4 linked regions of the Arabidopsis thaliana genome follow. The protein of the gene in region 2 interacts with the protein of the main gene of each other region in a pairwise test. Each region holds a gene or a part of one and is shown on either strand. Other genes may lie near its edges.

What was found.
Region 1: the proteins of KT2/3 (region 2) and PUP3 interact in a protein complementation assay, tested with the Arabidopsis thaliana proteins (one large-scale study listed by BioGRID).
Region 3: the proteins of KT2/3 (region 2) and CPK1 interact in a protein complementation assay, tested with the Arabidopsis thaliana proteins (one large-scale study listed by BioGRID).
Region 4: the proteins of KT2/3 (region 2) and PP7 interact in a protein complementation assay, tested with the Arabidopsis thaliana proteins (one large-scale study listed by BioGRID).

The regions. Positions count from the first base shown.
Region 1 is NC_003070.9:9,858,016-9,864,083, reverse strand, and holds PUP3 (purine permease 3), read left to right. Parts: upstream 1-2,515; 5' UTR 2,516-2,649; coding exon 2,650-3,339; intron 3,340-3,415; coding exon 3,416-3,781; 3' UTR 3,782-3,793; downstream 3,794-6,068. Other genes in the region: PUP1 (purine permease 1), read left to right, coding at 1-237, 1,522-1,884; ATJ1 (DNAJ heat shock family protein), read right to left, coding at 4,107-4,191, 4,624-4,713, 5,036-5,105, 5,186-5,234, 5,379-5,435, 5,992-6,063. UniProt on the Arabidopsis thaliana protein: May be involved in transport of purine derivatives during pollen germination and tube elongation.
Region 2 is NC_003075.7:11,744,887-11,753,865, reverse strand, and holds KT2/3 (potassium transport 2/3), read left to right. Parts: upstream 1-3,167; 5' UTR 3,168-3,774; coding exon 3,775-4,001; intron 4,002-4,115; coding exon 4,116-4,334; intron 4,335-4,589; coding exon 4,590-4,748; intron 4,749-4,829; coding exon 4,830-4,887; intron 4,888-4,977; coding exon 4,978-5,292; intron 5,293-5,381; coding exon 5,382-5,621; intron 5,622-5,699; coding exon 5,700-6,215; coding exon of another isoform or gene 6,216-6,281; exon of another isoform or gene 6,282-6,307; coding exon 6,308-6,383; intron 6,384-6,466; coding exon 6,467-6,940; intron 6,941-7,075; coding exon 7,076-7,200; 3' UTR 7,201-7,376; downstream 7,377-8,979. Other genes in the region: LCR85 (low-molecular-weight cysteine-rich 85), read right to left, coding at 1,050-1,237, 1,323-1,398. UniProt on the Arabidopsis thaliana protein: Highly selective and weak inward-rectifying potassium channel. Plays a role in both loading and unloading potassium into/from the phloem sap. Seems to control sugar loading into phloem via a voltage-dependent process.
Region 3 is NC_003076.8:1,414,332-1,423,221, forward strand, and holds CPK1 (calcium dependent protein kinase 1), read right to left. Parts: upstream 6,224-8,890; 5' UTR 5,547-6,223; coding exon 4,634-5,546; intron 4,517-4,633; coding exon 4,373-4,516; intron 4,278-4,372; coding exon 4,125-4,277; intron 3,964-4,124; coding exon 3,848-3,963; intron 3,693-3,847; coding exon 3,525-3,692; intron 3,374-3,524; coding exon 3,149-3,373; intron 2,798-3,148; coding exon 2,684-2,797; 3' UTR 2,233-2,683; downstream 1-2,232. Other genes in the region: AT5G04860 (splicing factor 3A subunit), read right to left, coding at 1-128; AT5G04885 (Glycosyl hydrolase family protein), read left to right, coding at 8,735-8,766. UniProt on the Arabidopsis thaliana protein: May play a role in signal transduction pathways that involve calcium as a second messenger. Phosphorylates the Ca(2+)-ATPase ACA2 resulting in the inhibition of its calcium activation.
Region 4 is NC_003076.8:25,557,823-25,564,881, forward strand, and holds PP7 (serine/threonine phosphatase 7), read right to left. Parts: upstream 5,495-7,059; 5' UTR 5,337-5,494; intron 5,103-5,336; exon of another isoform or gene 5,092-5,102; 5' UTR 5,087-5,091; coding exon 4,691-5,086; intron 4,613-4,690; coding exon 4,118-4,612; coding exon of another isoform or gene 4,103-4,117; exon of another isoform or gene 4,030-4,102; coding exon 3,883-4,029; intron 3,808-3,882; coding exon 3,700-3,807; intron 3,610-3,699; coding exon 3,514-3,609; 3' UTR 3,248-3,513; downstream 1-3,247. Other genes in the region: UVR8 (Regulator of chromosome condensation (RCC1) family protein), read right to left, coding at 1-106, 298-484, 672-765; VPS20.1 (SNF7 family protein), read left to right, coding at 6,068-6,169, 6,403-6,555, 6,650-6,802, 6,937-7,059. UniProt on the Arabidopsis thaliana protein: Phosphatase active on para-nitrophenylphosphate (pNPP) and on various phosphoproteins such as myelin basic protein.

The sequences.
Region 1 (6,068 bases), on a different chromosome or scaffold from region 2:
TTACACAGTGATGGAGACAAACCGGCTAAGGAGAGCAAGAAAGAGTATGTGGTTGGGTTCTTGATGACTGTGGTTGCAGCTCTTCTCTATGCTTTTATATTACCGCTCGTTGAGCTAACTTACAAGAAAGCTCGTCAAGAAATCACTTTCCCACTTGTGCTTGAGATTCAGATGGTCATGTGCCTTGCTGCTACTTTTTTCTGTGTCATTGGCATGTTCATCGTTGGAGATTTTAAGGTAAGAAATTTACAGTTTTTTTCACGTTGTGTTTTTAGTATAAGAGAGAGTATCATGGGATGATCTTGATAAAAAAAATATTATGCAGATTTTGATGAAGACTTTAGCTGAGTTTTTGGATTCTCTATTTTTAATGTTTTTCTAAATTATATAGTTTTTTTGTTCATTTTATGATAGAGGCCAAAATTTAGTCTGGATTCCCAAGAAATGAGGAATACTAAGATTTGTTCTTTTGTATTATTAATGGAGAAAATCCATGGAAACAATTATATATATAGAAATTATTTCAGAATCATTGGTACTAGACTATACTAGTCAACCAAGATATATTGGTATCTGTATTTAAACATTTTCTAAATACATATGGATATTATAGAATATTTAACAATTTTAATATAGATTTCCTGGTTATAATAAAATATGTGATTTTATGTAATATTTGTCTTCCTGATCTTTTATTAAAAACAAATATTATATAAAATACAAGATAAAGGTTTGAGCAATTTATAAAATATTTAACAATTTCAATAAGGTTTTATGTAATACTAGGTAATCACCCGCGCTACGCTGCGGTATTTTCAGATTTTTTGTATCGTATAATTTAAATATAATTTTTAATTATCTAATCATTTACTTATGTAATAAGTAATTATTCTTAGTATTAAAATATATTTTTTCTAACAACATTCTCAACAATGCATTATACACACAATTCCTAAACAATGTTCATCTTAAACTAATTAAATAGAGGGTAATACTGGAATTCTCGAAACCTAAGAATTTGATGATTAAATTTCTTACATACTCTTCACCCTCGGCGATTTATTATATAGATATATAACAATATGCAAACTATTCAAACTATTAACTAATCCATGACTACTATACACTCATAATTTGAGTTAAGATTACAGAAAAAAATCTTCTGAGTATGAGAAAACCAATAAAATTATTTTATTGAACAACATGTAATAACAAAATAAATTTAGTATTAGTACAATTAAATATGTAAAATTAAATAATAAATACATCATTAATCTATAAATTAAAAGTTGAAAGCTTACATTAATTATTATGTGGACACATGGCACATGTTAAAGTGATGATGTGTCAATCATATGGAGAGAGTTGGCCAACTTTCATATATATGATTTGTCTTCCTTATCTTTTATTAGAAACATTATTTAAAAATTGTTCAAACCTTTATCCTGTATTTCCATATCTATTTAAAATTATGATTAAACTTGAGAATCAACTAAAATCATCATCATACATGTTTTGTAGGTGATAGCAAGAGAAGCAAGAGAGTTCAAGATTGGAGGATCAGTGTTTTACTATGCATTGATAGTGATCACAGGAATAATATGGCAAGGTTTCTTCTTAGGAGCCATAGGGATTGTGTTTTGTGCATCATCACTAGCTTCTGGTGTTCTGATAAGTGTTCTGCTTCCGGTGACTGAAGTTTTCGCCGTCGTTTGTTTCCGGGAGAAGTTTCAGGCAGAGAAAGGTGTCTCTCTACTTCTTTCTCTTTGGGGATTTGTCTCTTACTTCTACGGCGAGTTTAAATCCGGCAAGAAAGTTGTTGATAAACCTCAACCGCCGGAGACAGAACTGCCTATTCTTCCTGTTAGTGATTATGTTGCTTAATTTCTATAACTCTATAGGATTATAACAGAGCATTACTGTTATGTTTTGTTCCTAATATTATGTGTGATTGTGTGTTTTGTTATTGTTCTTGTGTATAAGTATGAATAAATTTGAAAGATATTGAGCTATTTGATAAATGCAAATTTTAATACACTTGTAGTAGAAATAGAATGATAATGATAAGTAAAAGATAGGATATTTCGTATTTGATAAAATCACATCCTATTTATCGATTTTATAAAATAAACATTTCACACTTTTAATTTAAGATTAATATAATTTATCTATTTAATATAAAAATTTGTATATAAATCAAAGAACTAATATAGAAAGAAGAAGAGAAAACAAAAGAGATAGAGTCAAAGAACCAATTAACCATCCTTAAAATCTTCTAATTATAGAGAGAATTATGAACTGAAAATCTTAATGTCATTGCACTAAATTTAGAAAGAAATAAATCCAATAATCAAAACTGTAGAATTTGATGGAAACGTAAATTAATATGAGAGATATGATATTATCTGGTCTATAAGATAATTACTACGTTTTTTATACGAAATTAAACAGTTAGCAAAATTTATGGGTATAAAATAGGAAAAGTCATGTTTTAGCCATTGAAGCCTCGTTAGGTAAAAAGAAACACAAAGATCTATCACGACAGAATCTAAAACCGGACCAAATTTGTTCCAAAACACAGCAACACCAAACCTTATAACTAACTCCTTCGACCACCAACCTTCATTATCCACAAGAAATCAGACAAGAATGGTGAAGGCTCTTGTGATCATAAACTGCATAATTCTAGCCATAGGAAACTGTGGAGGTCCTTTGATTATGCGTCTCTACTTCAACAATGGCGGTAAAAGGATTTGGTTCTCTACGTTTCTTGAAACTGCAGGCTTTCCTGTTATCTTCATTCCTCTGCTCTTCTCTTACATTACCCGGCGCAGAAGCAACAATGTGGGTGATAGTACAAGTTTCTTTCTTATCAAACCGCGTCTTCTTATCGCCGCTGTTATTGTAGGCATTCTCTCAGGGTTTGATAACTACTTGTATGCATATGGTATAGCTTATCTTCCAGTTTCTACAGCTGCTCTTATCATTGCTTCACAGTTAGCTTTTATAGCTATCTTCTCATTCTTCATGGTTAAACATAAGTTCACTCCTTTTACCATCAATGCTGTTGTGTTGTTGACTGTTGGTGCTGCGGTTTTGGGAATGCATACCGAAACTGATAAGCCAGTTCATGAGACTCACAAGCAGTACATAACTGGTTTCTTGATTACTGTAGCAGCAGCTGTTATGTATGCTTTCATCTTGCCATTAGTGGAACTTGCTTACCAGAAAGCTAAGCAAACCATGAGCTATACCCTTGTGCTCGAGTTCCAGTTGATTTTGTGTCTCCTTGCTTCTATTGTCAGCGTCATCGGTATGTTCATCGCTGGTGATTTCAAGGTTAGTCACTCTTTTGAATCTGAAAACATACAAAAGAGTTTTTAACAGAGACTTGAGCCCTTTACTGTTTTTGCAGGCCTTACCAAAAGAAGCAAGAGAGTTCAAGCTTGGAGAGGCATTGTTCTATGTGGTGGCTGTGTTTTCAGCCATCATATGGCAAGGCTTCTTCTTGGGAGCCATTGGATTAATCTTCTCCACATCGTCTCTCGTCTCGGGTATTATGATATCAGTGCTTTTGCCAATTACAGAGGTTTTAGCTGTTATATTCTACCATGAAAAGTTTCAAGCTGAGAAGGGACTTTCTCTTGCTCTCTCCCTTTGGGGCTTTGTCTCTTACTTTTATGGTGAGATAAAGTCTGGCGAGGATAAAAGGAGAATTCAGCAGGAGGAGAGTCAGGAGACAGAACAATCTTCTTTGTCAAGACCCATAAGTGAGTGTTAAAACTCAACGAAGCATGGCTTTTCGTTTAAAGACATCATAGCACTCATTTCTCCGCCAAGTAGATTAGAAGATATGTTTGAGAAACTTGTGGGATTATGCCGAAAACACAATCTTAAAGGACTTTTTTTTTTCTTTTCTTTATTTCAGCTTAACTTGTTTGATGTCTCTTATTATTCACATCAAATGAGTTTGTAATAGAATTATGAGGTCAAACAATGACACTCTCTGTTATGCTGGTGAGCTTTTTGTTCTACCAGCAATAGATGAAATTAGTCTTCATTTGTCTTCTGTTGAATGCTTTTATCTTTCATCTCTCGTGGTGGCTTCATCCCATTAACCTGCTCAACAATAGCGCCAGCAGCACCATTAACGAGAAGTCGCGGATGATCTGAGGACCCGTTAGATTCCACCTGTAAGTTCAACCAGTAGAGAGCTTCTGGTAAAGCCTGTTTGGTTCATATTCATGATTCTTCATTACTATAAGGAACAATCGCTAGTGAGGAAATAACATTCAGTTGAATCAAAATGTAAAGAAAAAGCCCCAACAGACATTTTGGCTTTCTTACACTGTTTCCCTTAGAGCTTCTAGTTATTTCTTATAAGAGAACCTAGGTATCTCATTTTTCAATTATGTCTTGTTGTTATCTACATATCCGCCTTTTCTAACTCTTATTTCTAAGCAGGCCTAGAAAATGTACCAGTAATGTATAAGCATCACTAATTCTTCTATTGTAACCAACTACATTCCTTTGAGGTGAATTATACCAGATGTCCATTTACGTCTAACCATCTAATATTACACACAATATGCTGTTATAAACACAATAATAAAATTTACTTACCAACTTCCTTCAGCAGAGTCGCTCAACTCATTGTTGATTTCTTCCTTTGCAAACTCTTCCAGTATAGCACGCTGACGTTCATTCACTTCACTAGTAGATACAAGGAAAAAAGTAAACCGCATAAGCATATACCAGAAATCTATCAATATTAGCTCTTGACGGAAATGAAAAGAAGAGAATCCAACACATCCACATGCCACCAGAACATCAAGAAGCTTATGTAATCAGATTTAATAATCAGACGGCAGGGAAATTAACACAATGTTGTCCTAGGAAAATTATTTCAAAAACCGTAACTTTAGAGCAACAAAGTGTCTTTTCCATTCTAAACACTAGTAGAGTTTTTAGCATAGCATAATGTGGATGTCTCCAACAAGTGTATTACTTGAACTTCAAGTAAAAGAAATCTTACGTAGGAAAGTTAACGCGGAAGCGAACATACTGATCTCCATGATCTACAAAAAAGCCTTGCTTCGGTAGTCCTGCAGGAACTAACCTATTAAGAAGAGTACACGCAAATACACAAAAAAAATTGAACATATAGGCTGATAATTATATGTACCTTTGCCTCTTAAAACAAGAAGTTGATCAGGCTGAGTCCCCTTTGGTATCTGCAACAATTACAATAAGGTACCTCTATTATCTCCAAAGCCTTGAGATCTAACCTTCCTCTTGGTCAGAGGATGAAAACCAACTTGACTCAAATTATAAACAAACAAAATATTATATGAATCTCACTGGGAGACGAATCTTACATCTAGCTGTATCTTGCCTGAAAGTGTTGGCACCACAACTTTGCCCCCCAAAATAGCCTGTCAAATAAGTTTTCTAAGACATGTCCAGTATGGCTCAAGGGAGAAATAGTAGGAACAACGTGAACCATAAGAGATGAAAGGATGCACTATAATAGAAAAATACTGCAGCCGAGGTACTATGGCTTGGTGGCAAAATAGTGCAGTAGCATGCACTTGAGTTTTATGACTGGGGCCATCAAATTGAGTTTGAACCGATATGCCACATTATCTAGTTTAGAGAATAAGCGCATCATATACATAATGATAAAGATGCTACTAGCTAATATTATTAAACCTAGTAGTTTAGTAAACTTTTGGCACATAAACCAGTTGAATAGGACAAAACTCATTAATTTTCAGCTAGACTCCAGATAACTTTTCTCTAGTTTATGTCCTCTAAGAGGTTTTATTTTATCATAGGACATGCCTAAATTATGTTACTGCAGAGCTTTATCAGCTAGCAGTTAAGGCTTTTGAGTTTTGACCACAAAGTGTCACCATGCAGAAAAAACATGAGTTTCGAAGGTACTGCTCTGCTTATAACCCAAAATTCAGGATTCACCAGTGTGCTTACTTGTGTAAAGCTAATATTAGCATCCACATATATATCTGAGCCATCCCTAGTGAAAGTTGAATCATTAGCAACCTGTG
Region 2 (8,979 bases):
TAGATCAAAATACTTTATGTCAAATTGTCAATATCTTTACAATAAAATGATTATCCAAGTTTACCTTTTTTAGTAATTTAAAACTTTCCACGCGTAAGAGAATAATAATTGTTAAAATATTTCCACTAATCCAGGCATCCACTCACCTACCTATTATTTGGTCTATAGTATTGAAATATACTCACTAACTGTATGTCGATAGCATCAATAAAATATTTTTATTATATAATATATGTAACGAGACCTGCATTTGATCTAAAATAATGTAATATACTCACCATCACATGTCGATAGCATCAATAAAATATTTTTATTATATAATATATGTAACGAGACCCTCATGTTAAATATTTCAATAATACATTTATTTACCAAAAGTAAAAATACTATATGGGATTCAAGAAAATACTACATAAACCAATATTTTTAAACCTGATTCGAGCGTTAAGTTGGACTATCTTCTAAATCACCAGATCATTGGGTCAACCTGATTCAACCACGATTAAAATCTTCGATGAACAAGTGACCCTTAGCTATCTGTTTCCTCGTCACTCCCTTCATCTTGACAGGGCTTATTACTCCTGTGGGGCTTACTACCTTTTTGGTCTCTACTAGTTGGGCTTCTAACCGTCTTTTGTGAATTTGTGGGTTTTGTTTCTAGAGTGGACATTTGTAAGACTTTAGTTAGCTTACTAGTAACCTTTTTAACTTTTGTTGTATGTTCAAACAAGTAACCCCTTTTTAACTAATATGCATCAAACTTTATGAAAACAAAAACATGTACATTAGTGTTTAACACAAAGAAAAAGAGAAAAAAAAATCTAAAAACATTGGTTAGCTAAATACAACAAGAACTAACAAAAACGTTTGTCAACGGAAACACTCCAACTTTATTGGAGACTTGACAACGCAAAACAAACAGAAGCACAACAGAGTACAAGGCAAAACACTCAAAACATATGATGTGATGAAATGAAAGCATAAACATGCAAATAGCAAAACACACACACTCACACACACAAAGCGACGTCGTTTTCTAGCATCTGCAATCACATGCTTTCCATTTCAGCACTGCTCTCTACATTATGGCAGCAATAACAGACACTTAAACCAGGAAAACGAGCATCTGAGCATTCGCCTCCAGTAAAATTGCGGCCCAATGAATTGCATTGTGTATTGCAAGAGAACAACATACTACATAAACCCGCTGCGCTGTCACACACTCTACGCCCATCTACTTGTGTCCAGTCCATATATAGAAAGATGCAACATTTCATTAACATGTATTTATTCTAAATCTTCTTTTAACTAAATTTACGTACCTGTAGGAGACATGAGGAGGATGGAGAGACATACAACTACTGCAACAGCAAATGTGCTCACTCTTAAGCTCCCCATTGCTGATTTCTCAGTTCTTTTTTTTTTAAAACACTAGATATCTCTCAATTCTTCTTTCTTTTTTCCGCTTTGTGATTTATTTAGCGAAGGAGTCTGAATTTATAGCACTGAAGGGAAAATGAGAGGCTCAAACATGTAACTTTATTTTATTTTATTTATTTATGTTATTTGTATTTATTTTTAAAGAAAACATCACTATGCAATTTTATATTGGAACTAGGATTTAACCCGTGGTATACCACGGAGCAAATATTTTATTTATATATATAATAATCTTAAATTTTAAGGTTTTAAATTTTTAGTATTAAAATTATATAATTTTATATTAATATTGTAAAAAAAAAATTAGTGATGATAGAATAATAAATAAAGATTTAACCCGCGTTATATCAATGCAAACCCGTCCCACTATATAACTCGTCTCATAATATTTTAATATCTTTTTATAAGGATAAATATTAATAATGTTTTATAAAGTTAAAATATATCAATAATAATATACCATTAATGCTAATAGATCTCTTTAAAAAAGAATATTAGTGTGTAGTACATTTTAGATTTGGAAAGATTTAAATGATTGTTGTGATATATTTATTTTAATTCTAAATTTTAGTAACAAAATTGATTTATATTTGGATTTGAGAAGAAATTTGTTAAAATATTAAATGCTAATGGCATTGGATGGTAAATAAATCTCAACTTGAGGATTTATTTCATAAAAGTGCTGCAAAAATGTATATGTAGATGAGTAAATAGATCAAATAACTTTCAGTCAACATATTTACAATAAAATGATTCTCCAATATTGAAAATCACATCTGTCATTAGCATCAATAAAATCGAATTTTATTATATAGTATACGTAACGAGACACACATTGAGTCTAAAATATTGAAAATACTCACTATCACATATGTCAACGATAACACTAATTTTTTTTTTTGTATAATATACGTAACGAGACCTGCATTAGATCTAATTTTTAATCGATTAGAGCTTAAATGACATCGTTTTGGTTTGACTAAGAGAATCGTTAAAAATGTTAGAAAATCTGTTAAAGCTTAATAACTGTTTGTTTGTTTTTTTTCTTTCTTTTTTTGTCAATCGAAAATTAGACTATTAAATGACAATTTTCCGTTTAAAATGGCAAGTCCTAGATTTGAAAAGGTCTTTTGAAATCTTTTTAAGAGAATTAAGGGTGAATTAAATATATTCAGAAATTAAAGGGTCGAATTGCAAACTTTCTTGGTTCATACTTGGTCTGCCTTTGTCCCTTTCTTATCTTCTTCGCGCGCTTTTGAAAAAAATAGAAACCCGCCACTGAACGTCAGTCTTCCACGTGTCCTCTCCTGTGCTCTGTTTCCGATCGTCGGAGACATCAATTTGCCTGCTTGTAGGGTGATTCGTCAAATCTATTATCAGGTTTTAAATATACTCGAATTGACTTCCAAATTCTTAGTCTCTAGTGTAATGATTTTGAGAATCACTTAACTCCAAAAATATAATCCACGATCCCGTGTTAATTATTGAAGAATCAATCGTTTTTAATTTCTCACCAATAGATGTTGCTCTTATTACTTAAAACAAATTGTTTAGACAAATGTAGCAAGTGTGATACTTAGTGGGATCTTAAAGACGATTTCTCCTATAACAGAGGACAAACAGGTCGGTCAATTACAATGTCATCCCTCTTTACCCTGTCTTTTTTTTTCTTCTTAAAACCTAACCATTTGATTGTTTCTAAAGGTATTTCAAGAATATATGATCAATCTAGATGAATACTATACCGACGATGACTACACACACAAGGAAATATATATATCAGCTTTCTTTTCACCTAAAAGTGGTCCCGGTTTAGAATCTAATTCCTTTATCTCTCATTTTCTTCTGCTTCACATTCCCGCTAGTCAAATGTTAATAAGTGCACACAACGTTTTCTCGAAGCATTAGAATGTCCTCCTCTTAATTAATCTCCTTCTGATTAGATTCTCAATAGAGTTTAAATTTGTTAATGGAGAGATATATTGGGACCCTCAAGGCTTCTAATTATACCACGTTTGGCATAATTCTCTATCGTTTGGGGCCACATCTTTCACACTTCATTACCTTATCACCAAAACATAAAATCAATCAACTTTTTTTTGCCTTATTGATTGTGTTGGATCCCTCCAAAATTAAAACTTGTGTTCCCCACAAAAGCTTACCCAATTTCACTTCAATCTTAACAAATAGGACCACCACTACCACGTACGGTTTGCATCATACAAACCACAAACTCCTTCTTCATTACAATTATTATATCATCTACTAAAACCTCTTTCTCCCTCTCTCTTTCTTGTTCTTAGTGCTAAATTTTCTTTGTTCAGGAGAAATATAATGGACCTCAAGTATTCAGCATCTCATTGCAACTTATCCTCAGACATGAAGCTCAGGCGTTTTCATCAGCATCGAGGAAAAGGAAGAGAAGAAGAGTATGATGCTTCTTCTCTCAGCTTGAACAATCTGTCAAAACTTATTCTTCCTCCACTTGGTGTTGCTAGCTATAACCAGAATCACATCAGGTCTAGTGGATGGATCATCTCACCTATGGACTCAAGATACAGGTACCATCCATATTGATGAAACAGAGTACCTGAAAAATACATTCTTTATATCTCAGTGACATAAAAGAATGCTTGAATTAGTGATAACGTAAAGAAGTTAAATGGTTGATTCAGGTGCTGGGAATTTTATATGGTGCTTTTAGTGGCATACTCTGCGTGGGTTTACCCTTTTGAAGTTGCATTTCTGAATTCATCACCAAAGAGAAACCTTTGTATCGCGGACAACATCGTAGACTTGTTCTTCGCGGTTGACATTGTCTTGACGTTTTTCGTTGCTTACATAGACGAAAGAACACAGCTTCTTGTCCGTGAACCTAAACAGATTGCAGTGAGGTCAGTGATTGTTATTCATGATCTTAGTTTCACCTTTTTTATTTGATCTGATATCTTTAGCTAAGTGGAAGAAGACAAGGTTTAGGTGACTGTTGAGCCCACACCATGTGATTCTTTTATTTTCATAATCAGTTAGATAGATTTCTGTTTTTGGAATAAACAGAAAGATTCTACTTATATATATTAGGTGAAAAGAAAGCTTTTTAAATAAATGTGTTAGTTCTTGCTTAATGCTATTTTAATATCTCATTAAAGGTACCTATCAACATGGTTCTTGATGGATGTTGCATCAACTATACCATTTGACGCTATTGGATACTTAATCACTGGCACATCCACGTTAAATATCACTTGTAATCTCTTGGGATTACTTAGATTTTGGCGACTTCGAAGAGTTAAACACCTCTTCACTAGGTACACTAATTCCCTATGACTCTATGTCATGTCTCTGATCAAGAAGGTAACAAAATGATTCTATTTTTGGTGTTGTTTTAGGCTCGAGAAGGACATAAGATATAGCTATTTCTGGATTCGCTGCTTTCGACTTCTATCAGTGAGTAAATAACTTATAAGTGAAGGAACAAGATCACATTTCTTTAGATTTTGTAGTTGCAGTACATGATGAGGTTTGAGTGTTTTACAGGTGACATTGTTTCTAGTGCACTGTGCTGGATGCAGTTATTACCTAATAGCAGACAGATATCCACACCAAGGAAAGACATGGACTGATGCGATCCCTAATTTCACAGAGACAAGTCTTTCCATCAGATACATTGCAGCTATATATTGGTCTATCACTACAATGACCACAGTGGGATATGGAGATCTTCATGCAAGCAACACTATTGAAATGGTATTCATAACAGTCTACATGTTATTCAATCTTGGCCTCACTGCTTACCTTATTGGTAACATGACTAATTTGGTCGTGGAAGGGACTCGTCGTACCATGGAATTTGTGAGTCTCACGCTCTATACAAGATTAAGTCTTTTCTGTTTGTATAGTTTGCTCAAGGAAGATCTTATGTTGTTGTTGTGGTGGTGCAGAGGAATAGCATTGAAGCAGCGTCAAACTTTGTTAACAGAAACAGATTGCCTCCTAGATTAAAAGACCAGATATTAGCTTACATGTGTTTAAGGTTTAAAGCAGAGAGCTTAAATCAGCAACATCTTATTGACCAGCTCCCAAAATCTATCTACAAAAGCATTTGTCAACATCTTTTTCTTCCATCTGTTGAAAAAGTTTACCTCTTCAAAGGCGTCTCAAGAGAAATACTTCTTCTTCTGGTGAGTTAATTTTCTGACATGATTGGTTGAGTTTTGGCTTGCTGGATAAGTTTTCTAAACAGAGGTTTTGGTGATTAGGTTTCAAAAATGAAGGCTGAGTATATACCACCAAGAGAGGATGTCATTATGCAGAACGAAGCGCCGGATGATGTTTACATAATTGTGTCAGGAGAAGTTGAGATCATTGATTCAGAGATGGAGAGAGAGTCTGTTTTAGGCACTCTACGTTGTGGAGACATATTTGGAGAAGTTGGAGCACTTTGTTGCAGACCACAAAGCTACACTTTTCAAACTAAGTCTTTATCACAGCTTCTCCGACTCAAAACATCTTTCCTTATTGAGACAATGCAGATTAAACAACAAGACAATGCCACAATGCTCAAGAACTTCTTGCAGCATCACAAAAAGCTGAGTAATTTAGACATTGGTGATCTAAAGGCACAACAAAATGGCGAAAACACCGATGTTGTTCCTCCTAACATTGCCTCAAATCTCATCGCTGTGGTGACTACAGGCAATGCAGCTCTTCTTGATGAGCTACTTAAGGCTAAGTTAAGCCCTGACATTACAGATTCCAAAGGAAAAACTCCATTGGTAACGTTTTGCTTTCACCATAAGCCATTTAAAACCCTTACTCATAATCATCATCACAGCCGTTAATTCGTCGTCTTATATTCATGTTTCAGCATGTAGCAGCTTCTAGAGGATATGAAGATTGTGTTTTAGTACTCTTAAAGCACGGTTGCAACATCCACATAAGAGGTAAACACATCATACTTAAGAACCGTTATGTTTTATGTTCTACTGATATGTTTTAAGAACAAGATTTTATCATAATCTTGCAGATGTGAATGGTAATAGTGCTCTATGGGAAGCAATAATATCGAAGCATTACGAGATATTCAGAATCCTTTATCATTTCGCAGCCATATCGGATCCACACATAGCTGGAGATCTTCTATGTGAAGCAGCGAAACAGAACAATGTAGAAGTCATGAAGGCTCTTTTAAAACAGGGGCTTAACGTCGACACAGAGGATCACCATGGCGTCACAGCTTTACAGGTCGCTATGGCGGAGGATCAGATGGACATGGTGAATCTCCTGGCGACGAACGGTGCAGATGTAGTTTGTGTGAATACACATAATGAATTCACACCATTGGAGAAGTTAAGAGTTGTGGAAGAAGAAGAAGAAGAAGAACGAGGAAGAGTGAGTATTTACAGAGGACATCCATTGGAGAGGAGAGAAAGAAGTTGCAATGAAGCTGGGAAGCTTATTCTTCTTCCTCCTTCACTTGATGACCTCAAGAAAATTGCAGGTAAAGATACAAATTACACAAGTGACTAGAGTTTAAACACCAAATTACGGTTTAGGTTATATGGTGTTAAACCGGTTCAAATTGGTTTTGGTTTATTGAGCTAACCGGGTTTTGGTGTGCATGTGCTAAAAACAGGAGAGAAGTTTGGGTTTGATGGAAGTGAGACGATGGTGACGAATGAAGATGGAGCTGAGATTGACAGTATTGAAGTGATTAGAGATAATGACAAACTCTACTTTGTCGTAAACAAGATAATTTAGAAGTTGAAAAATTATAACGAAATGAAGTTTGAGATAAGAGAGAGCGTGACAAAAAAATGAAAAACAAATTGTAATATTTATATGCGTCCATCAAAGTGAGATGTAACACATATTTGGGTAAGAAACGTTCCAAATAATAAATTTAAATTTACTAAAATAATAAAATCCAAAATGAGTTCAAATTTATTAGAAACCTAATCTACTGTACAAACTTTTCAACTAGGTATATAGTTTCTACATATATGAAAATGTGACGTGACTGTCGTAGTATCAGTATCACATGCTATGCTACGGTTCGAATTTAGCTGAATTATTGAGTTTTTTTCGTATTTTATTTTGGAACATAATTTTTGAGGTTGTACACGTTGTTTTGTTTGCAAGGGAAAAACTTTATTCTTTGGTATTATGGAATAGTCGTCGAGTTGAAGAGAATGATCCACGTGACCTTCACGTGAATAGTAGTTCTATGATATTTCTTTGTCAATGAATCCATAAAATGATGCGACTTTTTTTTGTACCACTTGAAGTTTAGACACACTCCAAACCCTACCTCACATTTCTAGTTTTTGTGGAGTTGATTCTTTCTGAATTAGTATGATGTAAGAAATATGAATGTAACTAATAATAAAGTATTGTGGAGATAATCATATAAAAAATGGACAAGAACATAGAACCAAAATAACATTCAAACTATATCCTTAGATTTGTGATTAGTTTGAAAAATATAATTCGTTGACGAGAAAAATACGCAAAGAACCATATGTATGCTGTCTAAGGACCTACAAAGAAACTCCGTTAACAATTATGGACTGTCGTCGTCCATTACCAAATTTTAGTTCGTGTAGCATTTATCAACTATCCAAATATAAACAACTTTTGAGTATCAGAAAATGCGTTGGCTAAAAGGAACTCGAGCCTAAAACTTCGTTAACCAACATATATAAAACTATTGTTTCAATATTACTATTTTAAAATCAGTTTAGAATGATTTGTATTATTAAAAATTGTGTCATTGAAAGCTAATTAAAAATTTGTAAGTCGTAACATGGGGTGTACGGATGGGGAAATGTGAAAACCTAAAATACCAAATCTATGTAACGTCGAAGTTGCGTGCAGAGAGAAAGGGTTGGGTTATTTACGACATTTCACAATCACGACCCTACGACATTAAATGAGTGTGAGATAATGCTATCCATCACATGGCCTTACATTATCTATGTCTGTTTCCAAACACAAACCAACCAACAAATCTTTTTGCTATTTTTGTATTAATTTTTTCCCATTTGATGATCATTTATATAGAAAAAAATAGATTTATGAGATCTTTTTTATATTTCTGCTAGCTTACATATTTTTTCTTAGTATTTTTAAAAATTTCTTGAACTAGTTAAAATCACAGCCAGTCACTGGTGGTGAACCCGTAATGCTACAGCAGAAAAAGCTAAACAATACGATAAAAAGCGTTTAATACGTGTAGGTCCTATTAAAATCACGTTTCATTCTTTTAACTATTTGTTTCCTTCTGTTTAATGGGCCTCATTCTTGGCCCGTTTACCCCTTCTGGCTGTCTTTTATCGCTAATAATAATGTACTTTGGGACTACATTTGTTTTTTGTTTTTTTTTTGTTTTGACAGCCAACATTTGTCTATTAAGTGTATTGGTGTCGTAAACATAACATAACTTGGTAAGGAATTTGGCAAGACAAAAAAACATAGCAGAACAAAAGAATGAAATTATTCGTGAATGTAGAGAAAAATATCAAACATTAATGATAAGAT
Region 3 (8,890 bases), on a different chromosome or scaffold from region 2:
TCATCGCCACCACCATCGGAATCCAACAAACCATCCATCTGGTGAACAACGACGATCACGTCGAATTTAACGGCGAAGAGCGGAGGCCACGGTGGCCAACGCATGATCTGTTTCATTTTGACCACCATACAATTCACAAGTGGCTGCAACAAAAAACCTAAAAGGTTTGGAATCTTAGAGAAAAAGGGTGTTGGAGTAATCGAGATTTGCGGAGGAAAGAATCGGATTTTAAGAGATGGAGATGGAGGATTTGGTGGACGCGGTGTGATTCAGACGCAAAATATTTGAAATTTGAAGAAAGTGAGAGACAGAGAGAGAAAAGAGTAGAGAGAAGGAATCTCTGCGTTTGTTTTCTTTAGAGTCAACCCTTATAGAGATAGAGAGAGAAAAGGACGGTAATATTAAATTGTTGATTACAATAATTAAATAATGTATATAATTTAAAATTATGTTTGACATTTTTTTCTTCTCTGTTTTTAGTATAAAAGCTTTATATAATTATCATTTTAGAGAAATATAATTAATTCTAAAACTGAAAATTATTTAACGTTGTGTGATTACCTTCTTTTCTTTTTTGTAACTACAATTTTCAAGTAGTCTGTTACTTTCTTTCTTTTTTCTTGTAAATATTATTGTAGAGATTTTGTTCACCGGTAATTATAAGATTATCCGGTTTAATATAGAGAAATGTGAGGAATAAGTCAATCTTTTATTGCATTTATAGATAAACCCAATAAATGCTATAACTAGTAAAAACGGCCATTTATATTGAGTAAAGTTGGATTTTTTATGGCTAAAGTTTAGGAATTTATATTATCTGCCATATTTGCTTACAGTGTTAATTAAAGCTACCAAAATTATTACTTTTGACTTAGTAAAGGAAAATTAATAACGATTAAAAAAACTTGTGTCAACTATTTTATCTGTAAGTTCTGACTAGATTTTTCTAATGATTTTGTTTCCATAAAGTTCTTTAAATTGCAGCCAGTAGCAGGATTCATATCTATAATAGACTCTAGAGGCTCTTTAAATCTTGATCACAAACTTCACAAGTATGACTTTTAATATGCATCAATTGTTTTTCACAAATTTATTTCGACCCCTCATAAGAAACTGTTCTTTTCTTTTTTTGCTTACTCAGAAAATTAATAAAATTTGTAGTGTTAACTAAATCTTATAGGCTTATAGCTAAGCTATTATTTTGTCCAATCCATGTGAAAGATAAGATTTTTAATGTACACGAAGGATAAGTTAGGTATGTCCTAATTCATAAAGATTTAGCTGCTAAGTCCTAACCATATGTCATTGCCTTAAAGTTAATACAGTCCCTACACTAACTCATGCTCCCATGATCCTTTTTGCTTTTTACTTCTTTTGTAATGGAAAATAAAACCACATTTTAATCCAGCGTAAAAAAAAAAAAAATCTTATGTGATGAGTATTTTTTTGATGTTGTGACAAACACGTACATTCTAAAACAATATGAGGTTTTTAGGGTTCGATATTTTGAGTTGCATGTTTATATATATGTGTAATGTGTTGTTCATTTTTCATAGGAACTGAAAATCCCGAAAAAAACTAACTTAATACGTACAATGATTCATTTTTCAATAAAAGTTAGAAAAAGTAAACTAGACTACTTATATTTTTCAAATATAATTAACACTTTAAACAAGGACCAACATATTTAACAATTAGACCCCTACACAAATAAAACTTTATGATACAGTAATCATGATCACGTTTTGTGGACTGAAATTAGGAAATTTAAAAGGGATAGGGACGCAGTTTTGAAATAGACAATTTAATCAGTTTATTTAAATAAAACCAATTTAATAATTTTATAAATTAAAAAGTCGTACCCCAAAATAAACATTTTTAAATGTCAACAACAAACGCAAGCTTTAAATTATTTATTTTTGGAGAAATAACTTGATTGTGAGACCCACTTTTATATTTTTCCTCCATTTTTTTTGTTGTTCTAAAGAGTAAGTTAGGTATTTATGTTGACCAAAAACACTAGCTAAAAGATCATTTTATTCGTTTTTTCCAATCATAAAAAAGAAATTAATTATGTAAATGGAAAATAAAGATCTCAAAATACTACGTGTTTAGGATTAGGAGGTTTGGTGGCTATTATTTTCGGTGACCAATTTAATTATCTGCTTATAATTTAATTTGATTTCAGCTTAGATTCGGTAAGGACTTGAATTATATAATTCGGACAACAAATTAATTGAAATTCGGTTAAGTTATTTTATTTCTCAAAAAAAGAAAACTGGGAAATTACATAGAAGTACCTCAACTTTTAAACGATTTTCACATAAATACTCAAACTTTTTGCTTTACAAGAAAAAGCCCTCACAAAAATTTGATGATCGTTATCGCAAAATTTCCAAATCGTGTTCAAGTTTTTTGACTCTTTGAATTTACTTACAGACAAGAAATCGTGGTTTGTAATGTTAGAAGACTATATATGCTCAAGAAGTAACACAATACAACAAAGTTTCCAAAACAAGTCTAAGACAAAACCTCATCCAAAAGATTGAGAGAATCCAAAAGAGGGCAAGAGAGAATCTTGGCTGTGTGCATATGTCTTCAACATAATCAAAATGGTATATATTATCAGAAAACTCTTTTGTCTTCTTGGCTTTAGTTTTGTACTTTTAAATAGACTGAGAAACTAGAGTTTAAGAGCAATGCTAAAGCTTTTCTCTAGACCCATTTTCACAGGTCCTCCTGTGATGCTTCCTTTCTGCATCATCGCCACAAACTCGTTGTAGTCTATTCGCCCGTCCTACAATACAACAATTCAAATGTTCAACATTATCAACATTCAACCAATATATCAATCCAAAACCGACATGAAAACTCGGTTTACTTCACTGTTTCTCAGGAAAGAGAGTTTCTACTATCCCCCTAGGTTTAACAAGAATCATACTCAATCGTCTCAGTTTTCCCAAGAAAACAGACATGAAAACTCGGTAAGTGAAGTGTAGTTTTAATAATGCAAGGATTTAAGAGGATCATATAAGTGAGATTCCTATGAGTAAAATGTATATAATCCATTGAAATTTGATCATTGTTGAGAAGTATTCAAGTCATTTTATAATTAGGATGAGATGATAAAAGGTGTAAAGGAACTTACATTGTCTTGATCAACATCGCGCATCAGTTCTTCTATGCGGACATCCTCAACACCAAACTCCTCACAAGCTTGTTGAAGCTCGTCTGGGGTGATATAGCCGCTCCCATCTTTGTCAAAGTATGTAAAGGCTGCAAACAAATGGTCCTCTCTCTCTATTTTGTTTAGATGTAATGTTGCAGCTATGAACTCTTTGTAATCTATTGTTCCGCTGTTGTCCACATCAGCCTGAATTATATACACATGAGAGAGAAACCAGATTACTTGCATATCTAGCAAAAACAGAAGTATATAACCACAACCAACAGAGTAAGTTTGAATGATAACAAGATCAGTTCAGAATCTTAGTTAGGGAACTGGTATGCCGGTTAAAACTTACAGCTTGCATCAAGTCGAGAATTTCAGACTCTTTGAGATTCGCCCCTACTCGTTTTAGTCCTGCTTTCAGTTCTTCGAAAGTTATCTGACCACTCTTGTCCGCATCTATCATATTAAACATTTCTTTCAAGCCGGCGATTTCTTCTTCAGATAAGCTCTCAGCAATGACCTGCAAAAAGGCATAAAGAGAGAAACTTAATCTCCGTCGTCTCTTTCTTTCCACATAACAAGAGGAAGATGGGTTAAATGTAGCTATCTTATGTTTATGACAGGAACTTCTTTTATATGGTTTTAAATTTTGTTTAGCATCGGAAAGCTGCTTACTCTAAGAGCCATTTTCTTGAACTTGTTCATTGCAGAAAACTGCTTCATACGGCTCAGAACAGCAGAATCCAAAGGCTTGTCTGGAGCCACACCGTCGACTTGAACCCATGGATGACCTGAGAAGAAGCACAACTCCATAAGAGATAGAACGATGGTAGATCACTCTACATGACAACACACTTTATTCATGTAGTGAAATCTATGCTCAATGGAATTAACAGAAAGAGAATCACAGCGCTTTAACTGGAAGAGAAGGTTTCAGATCAAAATAACTTACATAATACTTGGTGGGCAGTTAACCTTTTCTTGGGATCCCTGACAAGCATTTTCCTCACTAAATCCTTTGCACTTTCAGATATACTTGGCCATGGATCGGACGAAAAGTCAAGATCACCGTGGAGGACCTGTTCGAAAATACCTTGTTCGGTTTCTGAATGTTCAAAGAAACAAAAAGATTAGAGATGTTGTTCAGAGCCTAGTTAGGAAAAGTGACAAATCTCTTATCTGTATATATACAATTCTTACCAGCCCAGAATGGAGGAACTCCGCTTAATAAAATGTACACAATCACTCCAGCACTCCAGACATCAGCTTCAGGGCCATAACGCTTTCGAAGAACTTCTGGGGCAACATAATATGGGCTACCAACAACATCTGTAAAAACATCGTCTGCAAAGAGGAAGGGAATCGAGTTCAGAAATAATTGTTCGACAAGGATCACACTATTCACGTTAAAGACCAAATCTGGAAGTGGATCTTTTAAGATGAGTAACAATGAAATCAAACCTGGTTTAAAGAACATGGAGAGTCCAAAATCAATCGTCTTCAAGAGGGAATCTTCGTGTTTACTGACAAACAGAAAATTCTCGGGCTTGAGGTCTCGATGCATAACACCAAGAGAATGGCAAGCCTCTACAACCCCAACAATGGTTCTAGTGAGCTCAGCCGCTTTCCTCTCTGTGTAGTGACCGCGTTGAATGATCCTGTCAAAAAGCTCGCCGCCTGCACAACACTCCATTACAAGGTGCACTGCCACAACATCCTCATAAGCTCCTTTGATGGAGATGACATTAGGGTGACCAGCCAAGTGATGCATTATCTGAATTTCTCTTCTCACATCCTCAACGTCCTCATCAGTCAATAGCTTCCTCTTAGCAATCGACTTGCAGGCAAACTCCTTCCCCGTAGTCTTCTCGACACATAAAAAAGTCGTCCCAAATTGCCCTTGTCCGAGTTTCCTTCCCAAGGAATAGAATTCCTTGAAGTTTTCAGTCTTCCTCTGCAACACTGACTCAGTCCTAAGCCCTGCACTTGACACTCTCTTCATGTGTTTAGGCTTCTTAGGTTTAGCTGGAGGATCAGGTTTTGACTCCGGCTTGGTCTCTGACTTGGTCTCCTGCTTAGTCTCTGGTTTGGACTCAAGGCTTATCTCCTCTAGCGTTTCAGGCTTGCTTTCAGTTCGAATCTCTCTGTCCTTGGTCTCGACGTCAGTCCCTGGCTTCGGCATTGTGACCTGTTCAGGAGGTTTATTCTGGACTTCATCAGATAATCGAGATCGAAGCTCTCCCGAAACAGCTTCACTTGCAATATCTCCATTACTCATGGAAGCCGAATCATCTCCATCTCTTGGCCGCCACATTGCAGCTGAAACAGATTGCAAGAAGCCATTTCTGCTTGGTCCAACACAAGTATTACCCATTCCCTAACTTGTCTTAAATCTCTTTCACCAGAAATAGCATCAAGATCTGATTACAATAACCTCAAAAACAATCTAATCTCATTACTAATCTGATAAAAGTCAAATCCTTTCGATCTTAAAACCATCAGACATCAAACCTCGGACTTCTCAGACGATTGAATTTCTACACAGCTGAACTGATAAACCCAACTTGGATGAGGAGAAACAGCAGAGAGCTTGCTTATACAGAGGTGAGAAATAGCAAGAAAAATCAAAAGGGTATCGGAAAAATCATGACTTGAAACAAACCCAGAAAATAGAAAGTCACAATGAAGGAAACCAAACAGAGAGTAGAAAGCATCCCCAGATAACAACAACAAAGAAAGAAACAGAGAGATCTGAAGAAGAGTAAAGAGAAAGAATGAGAAAATAAATTGAGTTGGGTGGGAAAATAAAAGGGATAGTTTAATAGCACTACACTTGCATAAACCGTAGGGACATTTGTTAATTTAATGAGAGAGTCAAGGTCTGTATAGAGAAGAAGACGATGAAGAAAGACGAAGAAGAAGATTGAACCAGTTTGAAAAACGCGTTTCTTTTGTTTTGATTATCTATCACCGCCGAGTTTTCCGCTGAGATTTGTCTTAACTCTCTTTTTAATTAATCTTTGATTACAAAGTCCACCACCCTCTTCAATCTTGGCAACGCAGCTTCTTATGTAAGGGTACTTAATTAGTAATATATTAAAACTTTGAGGTAAAAAGGTGATTTTCCATAAAATCAATTTCCTTTCTGGAGTCCTAATAACATCCTTTTTATAATGGTCCCATCATTTACTACTTTTGAAAAATATAACCCGCAAGTGAAAAATGCGCAAACAAAACCCACATATTAAAGAGCAGTCATTAAAAATAAGACATCCACATGTTAAAGCTTGAACAAATCACATGCTCTACACATTCTTGTCTTCGCCCTTATGTTTTACCCTAATTACTCCTTCCGACCACAGCTATTATTGAAGATCAAAACCTAGACCAGAACTAATATTGTAGAGACGGCGAGTTTGGTGTTCTAAACATCATGATCACCACTTTCCATTGTTTTTGCTGGTCCTAACGGAACACTCAAGCACCCTTCCTTTTTCCAGTAGATAAGCCAATGAGATGTCCCTACTGCAATAGAACGGTATGAATCTCTGGACACTCTGTTATTGATTTGATATGGAAAGAATGCTTGCCTAAAACAAAAACGAAGCTCACTATTGTTATCAAGAGATGGTGGTTTGAATCAGTATTTAAGAAGATATGATTTGTGGCAAAGACGCTCACTATGATGTGTATGAGACTTGGTTTGATGTAGTGCAGTATGTTCTGATAGTAGATTATCAATCATCACAACAGCGTTTTTTGGTGACAAAAGTCTGTTCATTGCCTCTGCCACGTCCTGATCAAGTAAACATCCAAGGACCTCCAAAAACAGATGATCCTTATTACAGAGATTCTCAATCTTTTCCGTACTTGTTCCTTGATTGATCCTTTTCACTATGACGAAATTAAATTGACAACTGTTTCCATATCTTGCTATGAGGAACAAAATTTCCTAGTCATGACTATAAAATGAAAAGTAACCTATTCGGCATTCTGTTTATGACACTAATAGAGAACAAGTGTGGGAAAGGGAAATGACGGTATTCAAGTGTGTGTCTTCCATTGACCGGAAAATAAGGTAAGAAAACCCTCACCTTTCTTATCATGTGTTGCGCTTGGAAATGGAAGAATCTCTTTATGCTTCTTTTCGCCACCTCTAAATCCTCCAACTGCATGAACACAATTCTATATCAGATATATGAGTGTGCACCATCAACTAAGTAACAGTCCAAAACCATCTAACTGACTAATGCGCGAAGACACCTACATTGGCTCAATCTTTGGCTGACCAGGTTTTCTGTTCCTAGCATCAAATACTATATTCTCGAGAAAATCCATATTGCTAACACCAGGGATCTCAACTGGAGTTTGGAGACTCAAGAAGAGAACCGCAAGAGATCCTTACATATCATGCAGATGCTCGGCTTTAAACACAATGATTTATGAGAGGGGTACGAGTAGAGATACTCTAGGAATCATATGTTTCAACAACATGAAGATTGAGAAACTTACCTTGAAAAAATGTGTTCATAAGCAAAAAACTTACGAGCCTCAACCTTTCATAATATTAGTTAGGAAATATCAGCAATGATGCAAATGATTCACACAATTGGAATTAGTTAAGCTTGTCAGAAATTTTAGCTAATGCTCTCTTAGTACAGAAATAATATCCAATAGAATCACGGCTAACAAACTTCACAACGTCTATATGTACTAGTGTTTCATTAACATGAAAAATCTCTCCTTTCTTCCACAATTCAACAATCACAAGCACTTAAATCCCTAACCTCAATCAAACGGCTCCTATTCCCGTCATCATGATCCGAGGATGGAGACAAAGTCGACAGAAGAAGAATCGGAGAGGAAAAAGGAGAGCTTTTTACGGCGGTGGATACACAGAGCAGCGACTCAGAAACCTCGCGAAGGCTTATGAGGAAGATACAGTAGAAGCGTATTGAGCAGTTCAGTGTTCGCAACGGAGGCCATAGAGATAGACGAAGCGGCGGCGGGAGGCGGAGAATCGCCGGTTTAGCGTGAGATAAGAGTCGAGGAATCCGATTCTCCCGCCTACTGACACGTGTCCAAGGTACGTTAAAGCAAGTACGATACTTTTCAGTAATAAAAAAAAGTAAGAAGTCAAAAAAGAAAGAAACTTTTTTAAAAAACTAAAACGACGCCGCTTTGTTCGTCGTTATGCATCATTATGCAGTGTAGACTGGTACAGATGTTTTGTGGAAAAACGTGAGCCAACCCCACGTCCCAATAAAAACAACACAAAACCGCATCAACGTCTTTTAACACTCTCTCTCTCTTTCTCAAATCTGCTTAAAAGCGTTTATTAACTACTCTTTATTTTCTCATATAAAAATTCTCAGCGAAGAAGAATCAGATATTTTCTGGTCTTGCTCTGCCTAACTCTCACATGTAAGTTCTTCTTTCTTCCTCCATTCTCTACTGTTGAATCTTGCCTTTTTCCTTACCCCCAATGTATGCTTCTTCTTATTTCTTGTTTTCTTGGCTAGCTTGGTTCTTGGTTTCTTGTATGAGGCTAGTAGCTTTATAATGATTCGTTTGGAAAATAAGAAAATGAGAAAGTACTTCTTACGGATTCGTGTGCTTATTCAATCTTTTGTTGAAATTCGAACAGTAAATCTTAAAAAGCTTGCTTTTATTTTTGCTTTTTTTCTTCTTTCTTGTCACTGATGAATAACGAAGTTG
Region 4 (7,059 bases), on a different chromosome or scaffold from region 2:
ATCCCCACAAGCAATCTGCTTGATCCGAATACCGTGCAATGCTTTGATTGGTAGCGGAGTAAACAAGTCGCTTGAGTTACCATGGCCTAATCTCCCAAAATCACCCCTGCAAAGTACACATAAAGGTTAGAGAACACGAGGCTTAAAATATGTGCAAATGAGTGTATAATTAGTTACTGTTTTCTACACAAAAATCTAGAGAGGAACTAGTGGTCATCATCTCATCCCGAATATATCAAACAGACTGAAGAGCAATTGATTCAGCAGCAAAGAAGAAGATAATGATGAGAAACAAACCATCCCCAACTGTAGACTTCCATGCCTGATTGTGAATAAGCAACAGTGTGATCAGCACCACAGGTAACGGAAACAATTTGGTGGCCATCTAAAGCGCTAAGCTGAGTCGGAGAAGGTCGATCCTCTGCATCGCCATGACCTAACTGTCCATCCTCTCCTCGACCCCAAGAACAAACAATGTCACCAGCTACAAAATCAAAACATAAAACTACTCATTAGTAGACGACGAAAGTAAGGGAAACTCGATTAAAGGCCAGATCAAGAGAATTCGCGAAGAGCACAGCCTACTAAAGCAGCGGATTTCACAATTCCGGTGATTATTTGAGTCCGTAATAGAAAAGGAAAAAAAACAGCGAAGAAGAAGAGAGACGTACAGAGAAGAGCGACGGAGTGGCTAGCACCAGCGGAGATGATAAGAACCTTACGAGGAGGAGCCGTAACTTCGTCGGCAGCCATATCCTCCGCCATGGATCACAGTTGCAGTTTTCACAAGATATTTTTTTTGGGGAGAAATGAATTTTGAAAAAAGTAAGAAATTTCTATTTTTTGATAAATTGGGAAATTTTGTAGCTTCTCTTTCACTATCCGTAATCTCTCGAGGGTTGAACAAGGAAAGACAGAGAGAGAAAGCGGTAGATGGTAATAAAGGCGCGATGGAGATTTGCACATGTCATATATCTGCTTTTTGACTTTTTTACTTTTGCTGGTTTTTTTATTTTTTGTTTTAACCGTACAGTAAATCTCTTTTTTGTCGTACAGGCTTTAATTGCAAAAGGGTCCCTCTTCACTTAATAAATCCAAATACGGACCTCACCGGTAAAGTTTTATACTTTCATAATTTCACCATTTCTTTTTTTTTTTGTTTCTTGACCATTTCATTTACCTCTTCACATAAGTAGATTTAAGCCAGTACACATGACATTCTAGATCGTAACTTGTGTTTTATGTGTTCATCATTCACAGGTGTAAGGCGCATAGATCGTAAGAGCCTAATCATATGTTTTTAGTCATGCACACGTGTGAAAGTATACACGTTAGTCAAAAAAAATTCTGAGTTTCATAGTCCAAAGTGACATATCCAATTTGTCTTTTTAGTTATAAATATTCAGTTCAGCTATTTTAGTTTTTCAAAGAGGTCAAATTAAACCTGGATTACAATATGGTGTACAGTTTGTCTTTTTATTATGATTCTGATTATCATATGAAGATACGTCTTGCTACATGTTATTTTATTCAATTATTCAAAATGCATGGTTCTACATATGGAAATATACAGATATACGGTCTACTTACAACTTGATTTTTTTTTTTTTTGTTAAATTACAACTTGAAGATTCTACTATCAACAAAACAAAAACAAAAAAAAATCTTCTATCGATCGAGCGAGATATTCAAATCAAAATACATGGTCAACAGGTCAACTATAGATTCAAAATATATGAATACCTAAATATTCAAATTAAGATATATCAATTCACGATCTAAAACATCCAAATATAGATTTTGCGAAAACGGCCAAAGAAATTATACATAACGGATAAAAATAAATAAAAAATTACATACGGATACTACTTAGTAGTACTTACTAGATTACCTAAAACCCATAATCTTACATATACATATGGATAAAGGTAACATCGATGAATTACTTGTTTCATCCGATCTGGAACGAATATATCACCTCGCTCGACCTAACATTTATGTGAAACTAAAAGGTTGTTTACATTGAGATAAAACCAACATTATATGCTTGTCAGTGAGGGAAGTTGTGACATCTATTATAGTAAGAAAATTAAATGAATGAAGATATTTTTGCATTGCCTGATACATGCATTATATGTATTGTCCAATTTTGGCATTAAAGTCAACGAGACAAAACTCTAGATCAAGATGGTCTCTAATGTTGACATTTGTTGCGACCTCTTTCAAATGGGTTCATCTCATCATTCATCACACAAATTTGTTGCATTATCTTTTATAATCTTGTTAAATAAACATCATTACGAACAATTTGTGGAAAAATGGAAATTATATGAAAGCCATTGGAAGTACTATATACAATTTAATGCACATGACTTCAACAGAAAATACTAGAGAGACAAGATAAGACACCTATAATAATTTAAGCTTGACATGAAGTGCTAAACAATTACTGTTTAGAGACATATATGCACATGAAACTAGGAAAGAAAAAACATTGCGGTGAGTACATGTCAATGATTGTCGATGAACAAATTACAAAACAGTAAAAATCAACACCCACCCACATGGGTTCCGGTATAAGGGTCAAGTTTGGCGATAACACAAATTTTAGGGTTTGCAAAAATGTTGTAACCATAATCGGTGATGAAATATGGAAGATCATGTGAATATTTAGATGATGAAACTATTTGGCTGAAAAGACAGTTAACTTTAAGCTTTATTACTTGAGATGCCCCGTGACAGACAACGAATGACCTTGGAGAGAATCACACAGATGATGCTAGAGGTAGCTTTAATGTGTTATATTTGCGAATGAAGATGCTTCACGCTCCTGTCGAATTCTTCTCTCTTTAGAGAAAGAACAGACCATTATTAGTTTAGCCCACTCAAGAGAAAAAACCGAAAACAATTGCAATAAATGCTTCAAAGTGCAATAAGGAACCATAAGATAGTTAGCATCAACCTCCACTTCATACTGTCTTTTACAAGAAGACATACATTCATCTGAACAAATTGCTACCAAATTCGGCATTTAATAAGCTGTCTCGTTACTTAGGATTTTCATAACCACACAATTTTTTGTTGGATAAGATTCTAGTAATGTGTCAATATTTCAAAGGAAAACTATAATGCCGACAGACACATAACTTGATCCACAAACTTCCATTGGACTAATCTACTACTCGATTTATCATTCAGTTAAAAGCAATTCTATACAATGAAAGTTACTGCAAGTTTGACCTCTCAAGATTTAGGCTAACCTGACAAAACAGAGCAAAATCTTACAAGATTTAGGTTTAAATAAGACGTGTAGGAACCAAGAAACTAAGAACTACATGAGATTTAAGATGGTTCTTATTTCTTCATCTTCCATACATAACTTAAATGTGAATTCTACAAATGATTTTCTTCATCTCTTTTCTTTACATTTGATTCCATTTTATGTTTGCAAATAATGAGCAATCACAACAACTGTAAAAAACATCAATTCAAGATACTCCTTTTCAGCTTCGGTCAGCTATTTGGTTGTTCGTTATTGGTGTCCATTGCTGACTTATCCATCTCATCATCAGAATCAATGACATTTTCAAAGTCATAATATGGATGCGCCTGCACATTTAAAAACCGATGTCGCTATGTATGTGTATCAAAGAAGTAAAACAACTCGTTGGTTCATTATCAGCATCGTAAGTTAGTTACCTTTGGTCGCGGTTTAACAGCTTCGAAACTATGAAATTGAGGATCCGAGAAATCAGGCGCCTGCAAAATAATATATGCTCCTTTGTTTTTGTACCTCTCTTCTGTTGCCTACACCACACACAAAAATGATTGTTAACGCATATCTTTAGAAAATGCAAATACCAAAGGCGTAAAAATACATACTTGGAATTGCGGATAGTCAGGTGCACTGAAAATAGTGATAAGCTTTCCGGATTCGACATTGTGGTCTATTGTATATCCATTGTCCATTCCACCAAGACCAGTTCTCTTCTCTCTAGCATCTGGACCTTCATGTGATCTGATGATCAACTGCACCAATAAGTGTAAAACATTTGATCCAATCATCCATATCAGTATTTGGGAAGCAAACAAGCATCAATATCTACTTTGGTGTCACCTTCAGTTCATATTTCTTCAAAAAATCCTCTGTACAATCGGGACCCCAAAGAAGACCAATGCCTCTCTGTTCATTTGGTGAAAGGCCCGGAGTCATTGAAGGATCAGACCATAAAACGTCTCCTGGTATCAAGTTTGAACCTTCCCAAGGAGGATCAAGAACTGATCTTCGAGCTTGCATCAACTCATCTAAGGTACCGAGTTTCATTGAGCTCGGCTCAGGTTCCAGAAGAACTACCCGACGGTTCTTTTTCCCCCTTGTTGTTCGCTTAGGCAAGACTGGGCTGCGGAAAAGCCCTCCATGTGCTGTATAAACACGTCCAGAAATTATGGAAGCCAAAGGAAGACCTTCAAAGCAACCCAAACATTTCCGGTACACATGTTTTCCCTTGTCTCCGTATTTTGTAAGCACTTCCTTCTCGAAACCATACATAGATGTACAATACTTTGACTCATGATTACCACGGAGTAGGTAGACTCTGTCCGGCATCAAAACCTAAACAACCAAAAAGATATGTGCTTTAAGAATACTAAGACTTGAGCCAATAGTAAAACAGCTTAGTAAAGAGTTTACCTTCCAGGACAAGAGAACAAGGAAGGTTTCAAGTCCCCAAGCACCGCGATCCACATAGTCTCCGTTGAAAACATAACACCGGTTTTGACAAGGAAAGCCAGTATCTTTCAATAGGAAAAGAAGGTCATGAAGCTGACCATGAATGTCACCAACCACAACAACGTTGGATACAGAGTCAAGATCATCGATATGAACGCAGTTACGTTCTTTGTGGAGGATTTTATGAGCGGTGAGGACGAGGGAATCAAAGACGTTGACAGGCAATAGTGAAGGTAACTGGGAAGGAGGTAGATTCCATGAAGACCATTCGAAACACGACATAAGCCCATGTACCCAGTCGTTAGTGAGAGCTCCCCCATCTGGCCATGTAATGGGAGATGGTGGAACAGTTTCCATTAAAACTGTAAAAACACTAATCTATAATCAATTCCAGAGTATGAACATGTGAAACAAGAGTATCAAGCAATCGAAACATAGACAAAGTTTTCAAATTTCAGCGATCAAAGCCACCAGAACATAAAATCGAATCTGTATATATTCATTCGTACATCTTTAAACTCAAGAGAAGAGCAAAAAGTACAAAATCGAATCATGGGAAATCGAAATCCATATCACAAAGAATAATTCGGAACAGAGTGAGACTCACCGGCTAAGAGTGGAGACAATTTACAAAATTCCAAAGCTTGGATCTTGGACCTAGCTAAGCTAGCTTACTTTGCTTTCTCTCTGCTTTCAGTCCCGACACCGTCGTCGACGAGATTTAGGATCTGTCTGGCTTTGGATCCATTTACTCAAACGACGTCGGTTAACCAGCTAAAAGGATTCAAATCAAATTCATGATTCCAAACCGGCCGGTTTAATAAACGAACAAACCTTTTTTGTCGTGACGCTGCAATAGCGTTTTGCAATCACGCGCTATCGAAAACGCGAGTTCGAGATTTTGTTAAAGGTGGCCAACCGGTTTGTTCTGGTTTTGATATAAACTTGAACAAAATTGGGAGACCGAATTATACATTGGTCTATTCGGTTACTTATCGATTTCAGCTTGATTTTGTTTACGGTACTATCCAAGGAATTTTTGTTTGGTTTCGATTTTTTTATTTTTCAGTGTGGATGAAATCAAACCGACTAAAATCGGTTCGATATCGATTTTTACATTTTTTCGGTCCGGTTCATGCTTTTCCTCTATTTTGAGATATTTGTACTGAAAAGCAGAAAGAGAGAAGAAACACAAAAATTGGACTTTGGTTTGAAATTGGCGACATTTTTGGGAAATCTAGAGACTAATAATCAATTTCGTCAAAAGATCAAATCTTGCTAAATTTTCTTCTGCTCGTTTGATTTTCCGAATCGTTGGTTTCGATAAGTGAAGAAAAGATGGGGAATTTGTTCGTGAAGAAACCACAGATCACGGAGGTTGATCGAGCGATTCTCTCTCTCAAAACCCAAAGACGCAAGCTTGGTCAATATCAGCAGAAGGTTTTTTATTCTCTCTTCTTATATCTTAATTTTCTTTTGTTACAATTTCTTTTGGAACCCAGATCATATAGTTTTGATTCATCCAAAATCCTAATTGGAGATTGGATTTGATTCGTTTCACAATATGTGTCTTATGATTGTTAGTAGTGTGATGGAAAAGAAAGACTCAAGCTTTTGAGTTCTTTGGCTCATCTCTTTGTTAACCGATCTTCTCATTTTTTTTGCTAATTTAGCTTGAGAAAGTAATTGAAGCGGAAAAGCAAGCTGCAAGAGACTTAATCCGTGAAAAGCGAAAGGACAGAGCTTTGTTAGCATTGAGGAAGAAACGAACTCAAGAAGAGTTATTGAAGCAAGTGGATCAATGGGTCATCAATGTTGAACAACAAGTAAATCCTTCTCCTTGTGTGTATGTTTTGTATCCGGCATCGTCTCTTTTGATGCATAATTATGGCTTTCTCAAACTTTCATGTGAACTCGCAGTTAACAGATATTGAACTTACGAGCAAACAAAAGGCAGTGTTTGAGAGCTTAAAGCAGGGTAATAGTGCTATTAAGGCCATTCAAAGCGAATTGGACCTTGATGATGTTCAAAAACTAATGGATGATACTGCTGATGCTAAAGCTTATCAAGATGTGAGTCAAAATACTTTCGGGTTTCGTATCATTTGTTTATGATTCATTATTACGTTATCCGCTTTGTCAGAATGTAAATATCTTCTTATTTGATCACTGCTTTGTGTGGCACAGTTTGTTCTGAGCTCGTCTAGTGTGAAAACCTCTATAATCTTTTTTGTCGAGCTTTTGTGTTTGATGACTCTATTTACATTTCCGAATGTCAGGAGCTGAACGCTATATTGGGAGAGAAACTATCAGCAGAGGATGAGGAAGAT